2 linked regions of the Neodiprion lecontei genome follow. The protein of the gene in region 1 purifies or fractionates together with the protein of each later gene. This does not show direct contact. Links are inferred from orthologs where the notes say so. Each region holds a gene or a part of one and is shown in the gene's direction. Other genes may lie near its edges.

What was found. Proteins that work in one complex are often made in the same cells at the same time.
Region 2: the proteins of probable cytosolic iron-sulfur protein assembly protein Ciao1 (region 1) and probable cytosolic Fe-S cluster assembly factor CPIJ010948 purify together in Homo sapiens (affinity purification with western blotting; 3 studies listed by BioGRID and IntAct, with this or other methods). This does not show direct contact. The link is inferred for Neodiprion lecontei from reciprocal best matches to the Homo sapiens genes CIAO1 and CIAO3.

What each region holds. Positions count from the first base shown.
Region 1 is NC_060264.1:55,536-60,052, forward strand, and holds probable cytosolic iron-sulfur protein assembly protein Ciao1, read left to right. Parts: upstream 1-1,598; 5' UTR 1,599-1,743; intron 1,744-1,750; exon of another isoform or gene 1,751-1,898; intron 1,899-2,767; 5' UTR 2,768-2,773; coding exon 2,774-3,229; intron 3,230-3,300; coding exon 3,301-3,846; 3' UTR 3,847-4,009; downstream 4,010-4,517. UniProt on the Homo sapiens protein: Key component of the cytosolic iron-sulfur protein assembly (CIA) complex, a multiprotein complex that mediates the incorporation of iron-sulfur cluster into extramitochondrial Fe/S proteins.
Region 2 is NC_060264.1:4,193,929-4,198,976, forward strand, and holds probable cytosolic Fe-S cluster assembly factor CPIJ010948, read left to right. Parts: upstream 1-1,913; 5' UTR 1,914-2,044; coding exon 2,045-2,110; intron 2,111-2,221; coding exon 2,222-2,317; intron 2,318-2,446; coding exon 2,447-2,602; intron 2,603-2,714; coding exon 2,715-2,985; intron 2,986-3,081; coding exon 3,082-3,330; intron 3,331-3,420; coding exon 3,421-3,801; intron 3,802-3,876; coding exon 3,877-4,118; 3' UTR 4,119-4,515; downstream 4,516-5,048. Other genes in the region: dynein axonemal light chain 4, read right to left, coding at 484-732, 1,053-1,112.

The sequences.
Region 1 (4,517 bases):
GGAACAGGAACGATCTGCAGGGGACCATAGGCATGTACACGGTTCATATAATTATATAACCATGCCGTCAAGTTTAATAAGACTTGCCAGTCTGAGGCTTGCCTCGACCCTACACTGCGGTTTTGTTTGGCGAATATGTCATCTATTCGATATAAACAACGAAGAACTCGTACCGCTGTGCGGCTTTCAGTTGGGACCGAATCACAAAGAATCGAAAAATTCATTCCAACAAAGTCCACCAATGACTTCCCTATTACAACACATACCTTATATTTAATTAAAATACTTTTAATTCGGTTTATAAAACTCTTATCTGTGTCACGCAGATTTGTGAATGATAGCTGTGCAACAGACCACTCGTCCGTATAGGCATGTATATGCCATACGTGTGCGTATTATATGGTATGTCACGGAACGCTATGGAGATGAACAGCGTCATTCACGCACGCACGCACACCTTCGCAGACTGCGCAGCCCCAGGGGCGACCAAACTGGCGACTTGCGACTTGCGATAACATTCTTTGGAATCACGGATTTGACATATTCACTTGCCGATTCGTGTACATCACAACTGTTAACAATGTTTTCATATAAACTCGTTAAGAAACATTGCCATACTACTGTCTTCTTTGACAAGGGATATGAAACGATTTTTTTATTTAGCAGTTATGATTACACTTGACGCGACAAGGAACAATAATGGACAACTGTGGTAGTAGTACGTACGTACGAGAAACATTGGCACTTTGATTCGAAGGTAAATATTTATATATTAATATACGGAGGATAAAGATAACTTACTGACAGTGACCGATGAAAATCCAGTTCATCAATTTCAGAAAACAAAAGGATCAGAATGGATCTGAATATACCCGAAATGATGAAAATCGCGCGACACTTGTGCATCCACGGATGCTACATTCTTACTCATATGCATACGTACATACATTGTATGTTATACACATGTATAACGTCACATAGCAGAAATATTGTATGTACATACGATCGATCGGCTTCGCAAAATTCTTTCTTACCTTAATTAATAGCGACTACCCGTCCGCGATGCGATTAACGTACAATGCAACTCCAGCGATTTTCCATGTTAGATTAAGCGCAATTGCAAATCGAAGCACGACACGAACACATTTCAGAAAATAAAAAATTCGAACTCAGACAATTCTCCGGATCCTTGCTAACGTGAATATTCCCGTAAGTACACCGACCGCCGTACCGTATGAAACGCAAATTACGCCCGACTCGGCACAACCAGCGACGTCTACTGGACAAAAAATTGCGTCAAATCCGCCCGGTGAACAATTGGTAAATAGAGGACTAGCGCCCTCTGACAGGGGATAGGCTTTTCGAGTTGGCGTTGATGACGTCGAAGGCACGTCGGTAACCGATCCGGACTTAACATCGCGGAAGTGGTATCCATCTCTTTCTTGCCTGCAGGAACATAGGAGCCTTGAAAGTCACATGGAGCTCTACGTTTGTTCCTTTTATCGGGCGTGCCATTGGCAGCACAGGAATTGTGATCTGGCTATGCTGCACATACCACTGTACCATACTAGCTAACGATCTGTTTGGCGATGGTAAACACAGTTCGACATGTCCTTACCACAGTCAATTAGTTTCAGAAAGCGATAGTCTTTTCATCTACATTTCTGTATGTATGTACAATACATACGTACATGCATACGTACAACGCGGATAGTGATCGCCAGATTGATTGAGTTGACTTGAGTATGTATTTTAAGCAAGGTCATAGTTTTAAGTAATGTAAATAGTTGAATTCTGACAAACACAAGAATTGCAAATCGTCCTCGTTATCGCCGTCGCAATACACTCCTCTTTGAAATAATCGTTGCGATTGATAAAATATCATTCTAGCATCATAGGTTCGTCTGGAAAAATAAACCTAACCCAAGTCCGATCCCCGATCCTAATCTGAACCTTTGAATTTTTCAATTATTTTTCGCTTCGTTTATTTGCAACTACAGCGTGAACCTACACGAAACACTCTAAATGTACCTAATGTTCTCTTCTTTCAAATTTTTCGGAAAAAATTAGAGTAACCACAACAAGTTTTCGAGACACGCCGATTTCCATGCGAACAGAATTTTTCGCGTACACAATCGCTGAAAGTGATAAACACCGGCAGCATAATTCGTACCTCTTGTGTGTGTGTGATTTTCGATTGTTACAGAATGCGATCTTTTATCAAAACTCTGGCTAGGATATAACAGAGCCTGCACATAATCTTACCCGTTGCACTCGATTTGAGGCTGCCTTGAATTATCGTTCGGACACTTCAAGTTTATGCAACCAATTCTGGACAATTAAACATTTAATGTGTCTGAAGTGTATCGTGAAAGTTCACTATGTAGTGCGAATTGACATTTCGATTAATTTTCATTGATTTTTTAACCATTTAATCGATATTTCATTCAAGAGGCGTTACGTTCTGAATTTTATTTTATATCAACTCTAACATTTGTTCTGACGAGCAAAACTTCCCTTCGTTAACAGACATGATGATGCGTATGTTGCAACCAGAAATGTGTTCTTTTCCCTATTGTTTATGGTGCCCTGTATCGTTTGCCCAATATTAGGCTCTCGGGCTATCTATGAACCATCATTATTGTAAATATCAAATGATTATTAGAATGTCAATCCCTTGTGCAGTTTTGTGTAACTGGAATATTAGTGGGACAGACTCGGTACTATCCTGCTTAGGCACATTTAGAATTGGGTCGTCCTGTTTCAGGTAGCGATGGGTTCGTTGGAACTGAAACAGAGTTTATCAGGTCATAAAGGAAGAGTGTGGAATGTATGTTGGCACCCAAAAGGCAATAGCTTAGCTTCTTGTGGCGAGGATAGGACAATAAGAATTTGGGCGAATGAGAGTTCAAAGTGGGTAGTCAAAACTATCTTGGCTGAAGGCCACCAGAGAACGGTTAGGGAAGTTTCATGGTCTCCGTGTGGAAATTATATCGCATCTGCCAGTTTTGACGCTACAACGGCTATTTGGGATAAAAAGGCTGGTCAATTCGAGTGCAACGTAACATTAGAAGGACACGAGCATGAAGTCAAGAGTGTCAGCTGGTCACGGAGCGGACAATTATTATCCACGTGTAGTCGAGATAAATCTGTATGGATTTGGGAAGCTGCCGATGATGAATACGAATGTGCTTCTGTAATATCATGCCATGCCCAAGATGTAAAAAAGGTGAATTCATATCGCATTGCTTGCTAATGGCGGTATTTCTTCTTAATTAATGGCAACTCTGATGATTGCAGGTAAAATGGCATCCGCACGAGGATACCCTGGCCTCAGCTAGCTATGACGATACTGTGAGAATTTTCAAGGAAGACGCGTACAGCGACTGGGTCTGCACGGCAACTCTGAATTCCCACACATCTACAGTTTGGAGCCTGTCTTTCGATAGCACAGGAAACCGTTTGGCAACCTGCAGCGATGACAAGACAGTGAAAATATGGCAGGAATACAAACCTGGTAATGAGGCTGGTATATCAACAGAAAACAACGAATCTGTTTGGAAGTGTTGCTGCACTTTGTCAGGCTACCATAGTCGGCCGATATACGATATTGACTGGTGCAAATTAACAGGGCTTATTGCCACAGCATGTGGCGACGATATCATCAGAATATTTCGCGAGGACACTGATTCAAATCCAAATCAACCCTCCTTTAGTATGGTTTGTACTACAGATGATGCACATACACAGGACGTCAACTCTGTACAATGGAATCCTGTTGTTCCTGGACAACTTGCATCGGCAAGCGACGACGGGCTTGTCAAAATTTGGCTGTACAGTGAATAAGAGGCTTACATCATTCAATCACTGATGTTGCAGCTCAAATGGGAGTCAAGCACAGCTGCTGTCTTCCCTGCTTCAGCACTCACTTATTAGTAATCGGTTTTTTCCAAATTAAATGTACACATATCCTGTTAACCCTAACAATAAATAATTTGTAAATATAAAACTACTACTGTTGTTGGCTTCATTTTTTTTCCCCACCCACAATATATGAAATGTAAACGCATGATAAAAATGTTGATACTGGAAATTTTCTTCATTCGTTCTACAAATCATGTTACGAATGACATTTCTGCATTTCTCTTTCATCAACGAAAATTACAAATCATTCGCTTCTTGAACACATATGCATTCTGTGTAATAATTAAACCTCTTCGTATATCTCTGTTGCAGATAAACAACTATAAATGCACATTCATTCAACGGTTGTATCGAGACTTCTATTCAGAACTCACGGTCTGTATAAGCTTCTCAAATACCATCACGTAACATCTAGAATGGGAGATCTGGACTCTACTAGGGAGGGACTAGCGCTAAGCCAAGTCTTGGATGCTATTCACTCGTTTGCCCCGATCGAGCTAGCGGCTTCCTGGGATAACGTTGGCCTGCTCATTGAACCAACAAAATCGAAGTTAATTACGCACACACTCATCACCAATGATCTTACCGAGGAT
Region 2 (5,048 bases), about 4.1 Mb from region 1:
ATTGACTAGATCTGATGTTTCTCGAACTTTATCATATTCCTCACATGTGTATTTACATACTCACAGAAATTTAAATCAAAGATTCAGAATCAAATTCCATAGAGTCTGTTTGTACTTATACTATTATTAATCAGTCATTCGAACATCGATTTATCGTCAATTTTTATAGTAAAGATTATCGATCGTAAAAATTTTCCAAACCACGATATTGCAACATATAAAGTACCTATATGAAAACCAATTAAGATCGGTATTAATCTGTTGAAAAAATAGGAACGAGAATATTTATAATCTATAGTGAAACCATTTACACGAATGACAACGTCAATACATCTTTAAATATATTGCCAATACTCATCTCACAGAGTTAGCACATTTAGAAACATTTTTTATCAATTGCTTGTGATTAGGATAGTGAAGTAGCTTTTTTGTCTAGCTGATAGCATTAGTATACCGTTATCAAAATAGACTTTAATGTTATGGCTACGCGGATTTCCATATACAAATAGCTAAATTTCCTGCGCAATACATGTACAGAAGGTGTTTTAGCTGATAGGTAATCTCGAATCCGTATCCTTCACCCACTACCGTGTGCCAGGATGCTCCAAATTTTTTGTCCATCGTTTCCTTAATCATTTTCGAAGCACTCTCGTAATTATCCGCGTACTTCTCGGCTGCCGTTACGCATAACTCCATCGCTTCCTGTTTCATCTCGTCGCTCATGTCACATTTCTGTTGGAACAAACAATAAACAACAAAAATAAAAATACAAGAATGCCCCATTAACTTCAATTTCCACTGAAAATGTTTATTTATTGAACGACTGTGAAAATTAAATTTGAATTCAATATTATACACTTGATTCTAAGTTCATTTGTTAATCTTAATTTCTAATTACACAAAAAGATGCAAAGATATTGCATCAAAATTAGAGAAGAAATCAATTGCTCGAATACATGATTCGAATTTGTTTATTTTTATTTTCGAGAAAAATTTAATGTACATTATAATTACGTTTAGATATTTGTAATTGAATGGGGATTGAAACTCACGCGACACAAGGGATACGTATGAAGTATTTTGACGACATCGTCCTTCTTGACTTCCGTCATCGTTCTGTTGTTTATTTTTATAATTCAATCTCAATCGTAGTTATAATTGCATTACACTATTAATTGTATGTGCGGCAACACACGACGAAACACCTGTGTTACACTGATGCAGAGAAAATTGCCGTGAAGCAGGCGAAATTGGGGCAAAATTATTGCGCTCGTGACTCATGCGGAGTCGTGAAATCAGATGTCAAGTAGGAAACGGGGCGTTGGGCATTTGGCAGAAAGGGAGGAGGCAAAATATTTACTTCCCAAGGCAACAGGGAGGAAGAATCACCCCCCACGTATCTATGCACTCGATTTCGTCATCGTGAATGGTGAAAGAATAGGCGCCGGCGCAATCGCGACATCGCACGCTGTGTTTTAATATTGTCCGTTTCGATTGTTGTTCATATACAGGTATATGGAATGTCAACGCTCGAGAACTCGTAATATATCTATAATTTAAAACAATCAAATTCCTTAATTTTATCTCGTAAGCAAAATACAATTAATAGTGCTCGTAATTCATGGTCAAAAAGAGCCAAGCAATTGTGTTGCGTCTAAGCTGTTATTGACTACAGTTGCAGTTTATTTTATTGCAAGAGTTTTACCGTCTGTGTAGATTTCAAAATATAATGACAAATTTCTTTTACAAAACTCAAATCAATGCGAATCCAGATGAATTGTATTCAGAGTTGCAATGTGTATTATTTGCCACCAGATGGATTCGAAAACGCTCTTTCCCACTGTTGGTCATTGTTGCTTCTAAAAGTGTAAAGTGGCGCCACCCGCGATTACCGAGCTATTACTGTATTGTATAAGTAACATTAGCTTGACGCTAGTACACTGGGAAAATCACGCAGTTTGTCGTGTGCGCAAGTGATAGTCATTGATGTATTGCGAAGTATACACCTGATATTCCGACTGATTTCAATATAAAGTTTTAAAACATGGCATCACGATTTAGTGGTGCTCTGCAATTGACGGATTTAGACGATTTCATAACTCCGTCACTGGTAAGTTTAAAAATATGTTATTCCCGTAGAATATCACCTAAACTTTTGTATTTGCATGTCCAGTTTCTCGAGCGTATAAGAATAGGCGCTAAATTCGAATTTGTTTTACAGGAGTGTATAAAACCAATTGAAATACCAAAGTCGAAGGCTAAGACAGGGGCTAAAATAAAAATACAGGAAGACGGAGCTTATGTAGAATTAAATGAGGTTCGTCTGTTAATAATGAATATTATAAATGCTGTCCTTTTATATAGTCAGAACTAATACCTTTTCACACTTCCGAAACTGAACCGAGCATGTTTCACCCAATTAATTATTTTTATTTCTTTATCACAGTCTGGTACTTCGGAAAAACTTCAGAAAGTCGAGATCACTTTAGCCGACTGCTTAGCTTGCAGCGGCTGTATAACATCGGCCGAAAGCGTTCTTGTTACTCAGCAGAGCCAAGAGGAACTTCTGAGGGTCTTACAGGAAAATCAGAACTTTCGAGAGGTAATGCATTATATCTACATCGTACTCCTTGTTTCTCGAATGGAGGCAGAGTCGATAAAAAGTTGGTCACAATCTATTCTCAAATTAATGACAACGTTTTGATGTTTCACAGAATGGAAAACAAGAAGAGGCGAGATTCATCGTAGTGAGTTTATCAGTACAGCCAGTTTTGTCGCTAGCCGAGCGCTATGGTTTGGATCCAGAAAGCGCTACCCGGAAATTAGCTGGTCATTTTCGTCAATTGGGAGCAGATATGATATTGGACATGACTGCAGCAGATGATTTTTCTCTGCTGGAATCAGCGAGAGAATTTATTGAAAGATATAAGTCTTCTCAGGATAATGTCAAAGGTCAAATACCGATGCTGGCTTCGTCTTGTCCAGGTATAGCTTATTTTTTACCGAATACTGTGACTAAAAATTCCGACAGTTGTGTATTATTATAATCCATCCAGGTAATTTCTTTCTTTGTACAATTAGGCTGGGTTTGTTACGCGGAAAAGACTCACGGAAATTTCATACTGCCCTATATAAGTGTGACAAAATCGCCACAACAAGTAATGGGTTCTTTGGTCAAATACCATTTGACCAAGTACAAAGGGCTACCTCCTGAGCGAGTATATCACATCAGCGTGATGCCCTGTTATGATAAAAAATTGGAAGCCTCTCGAGAAGATTTTTACAATGAACTTAAGCAGACCAGAGACGTCGACTGCGTGATTACGTCAAGTATGCAATATTAGTAAAACGTGTCGAGATGCATTATTGTGAATTTATTCATCTTCATTGTTCGTGATTATGAATTTTGTTTTTTTTCAGTTGAATTGGAAAACATGTTGATTAGTCAGGGAGTGTCATTGAACGATGTTGAAAGTGGTGAAATAGACCGACCTTTTGGTGCATACAACAAAGAACAATCTGACAAAATACTTTGGGGACATCAAGGCTCGGGATCAGGTGGCTATGCTCATTTCATATTCCAGTACGCCGCTTATCATCTTTTCCAAGAAGCCAATACTACTGTTGAATTTAAAAATCTAAGAAATCCAGATTTCAAGGAGGCAGTTTTGGAAAAAGATGGAAAAATTTTACTCAGGTTCGCTATTGCCAATGGCTTTAAAAACATTCAAAACCTCGTTCAGAAACTTAAAAGAGGGAAGTCTCCGTATCACTATGTTGAAGTTATGGCCTGTCCTTCAGGTAAGTCTCATTCAAGCGACAAAGCATATTTCAATATTCGTTTCTTAAAACTTGGTTTTTTTCTCATCTTTATAGGCTGCCTCAACGGTGGAGCCCAAATACGACCTCAGGATGGTTTACAGCCACGTGAATTGGCCGCTAAACTTGAAACAGTTTATCACAGTCTTCCTTTAAGTAAACCAGAAGAAAATTGTGTTACATTAAGTTTGTACACTACGTGGCTTGAAGGCGAGCACTCCGACAAATCCGCTGCTTTCCTCCATACGCAGTATCATGAAATAGAGAAGATGAATACGGCACTTGCGATTAAGTGGTGAAATGTTCCACAAGAATGGCACAACTAATAACTAAGTAGGTAATTCTCCAAATTGGTATAAGGTAAAGAACAAAATTGGATGATTTGTATTAGCAATTACGATATATTAATATTTATAAACATCTTTATCATTTGAAATATATTTACAAATTAAAATCATATGAAATAAATATGTGGTACAATACTGAAGTAAATCGACACATATTTCATGCCAGAACAACAAGTTTTGAGTTCGAGTGTTATTAAGTGTTACTCAAAAAATCTATCTAAGAATTAAAATTGTACTGTTTGTGTGTATTATGCGAAATTACTAATATTTTTCGGTTTCTCATCTATTCTACATAGTGTTATTATCACGTTACTAACATTAACTTCCAGTTATATACAGGTATGTTGCATTAGTTCGGAAAAAAGTTAATATCATTCTCTTTTATGTTTCACATCCCTGATTACAATTCTGATTAATGAATATATCCATAATATAAGGTAATCACGTCGATGCAACTTCGAAAGAATTATGCCATTTTTCTCTCTCTATTTTTCCATATCCAAATAAGTTCATACTTTGAAATCTGTTATTTGAAATGTTATTACATCTTACTTTACGGTATTGCTTTCCATTTTTTCGAATTGGACCATTTGTTTTATGTAACCACATATTTTGCAATTCATTAATTTTAATTTTCAATCAAAATTTTCTGAAATGAATACCAATCAATTCCACATTTCACGAAAACAAAGATTTCAATCTAGTAAAGCCCTTTGCATTCTTCAACAAACCATTTTAAATGAAATTCAATTCTCAATACAAGCTAATATTTATTAAAATCATAAATCGTACTGGGTGCTCTGTGTTACTTCCGTTTTATGCATCATCAATCGAGTAAGATTTCTATACAGATATGTATATATATACATATATAGAAATAAA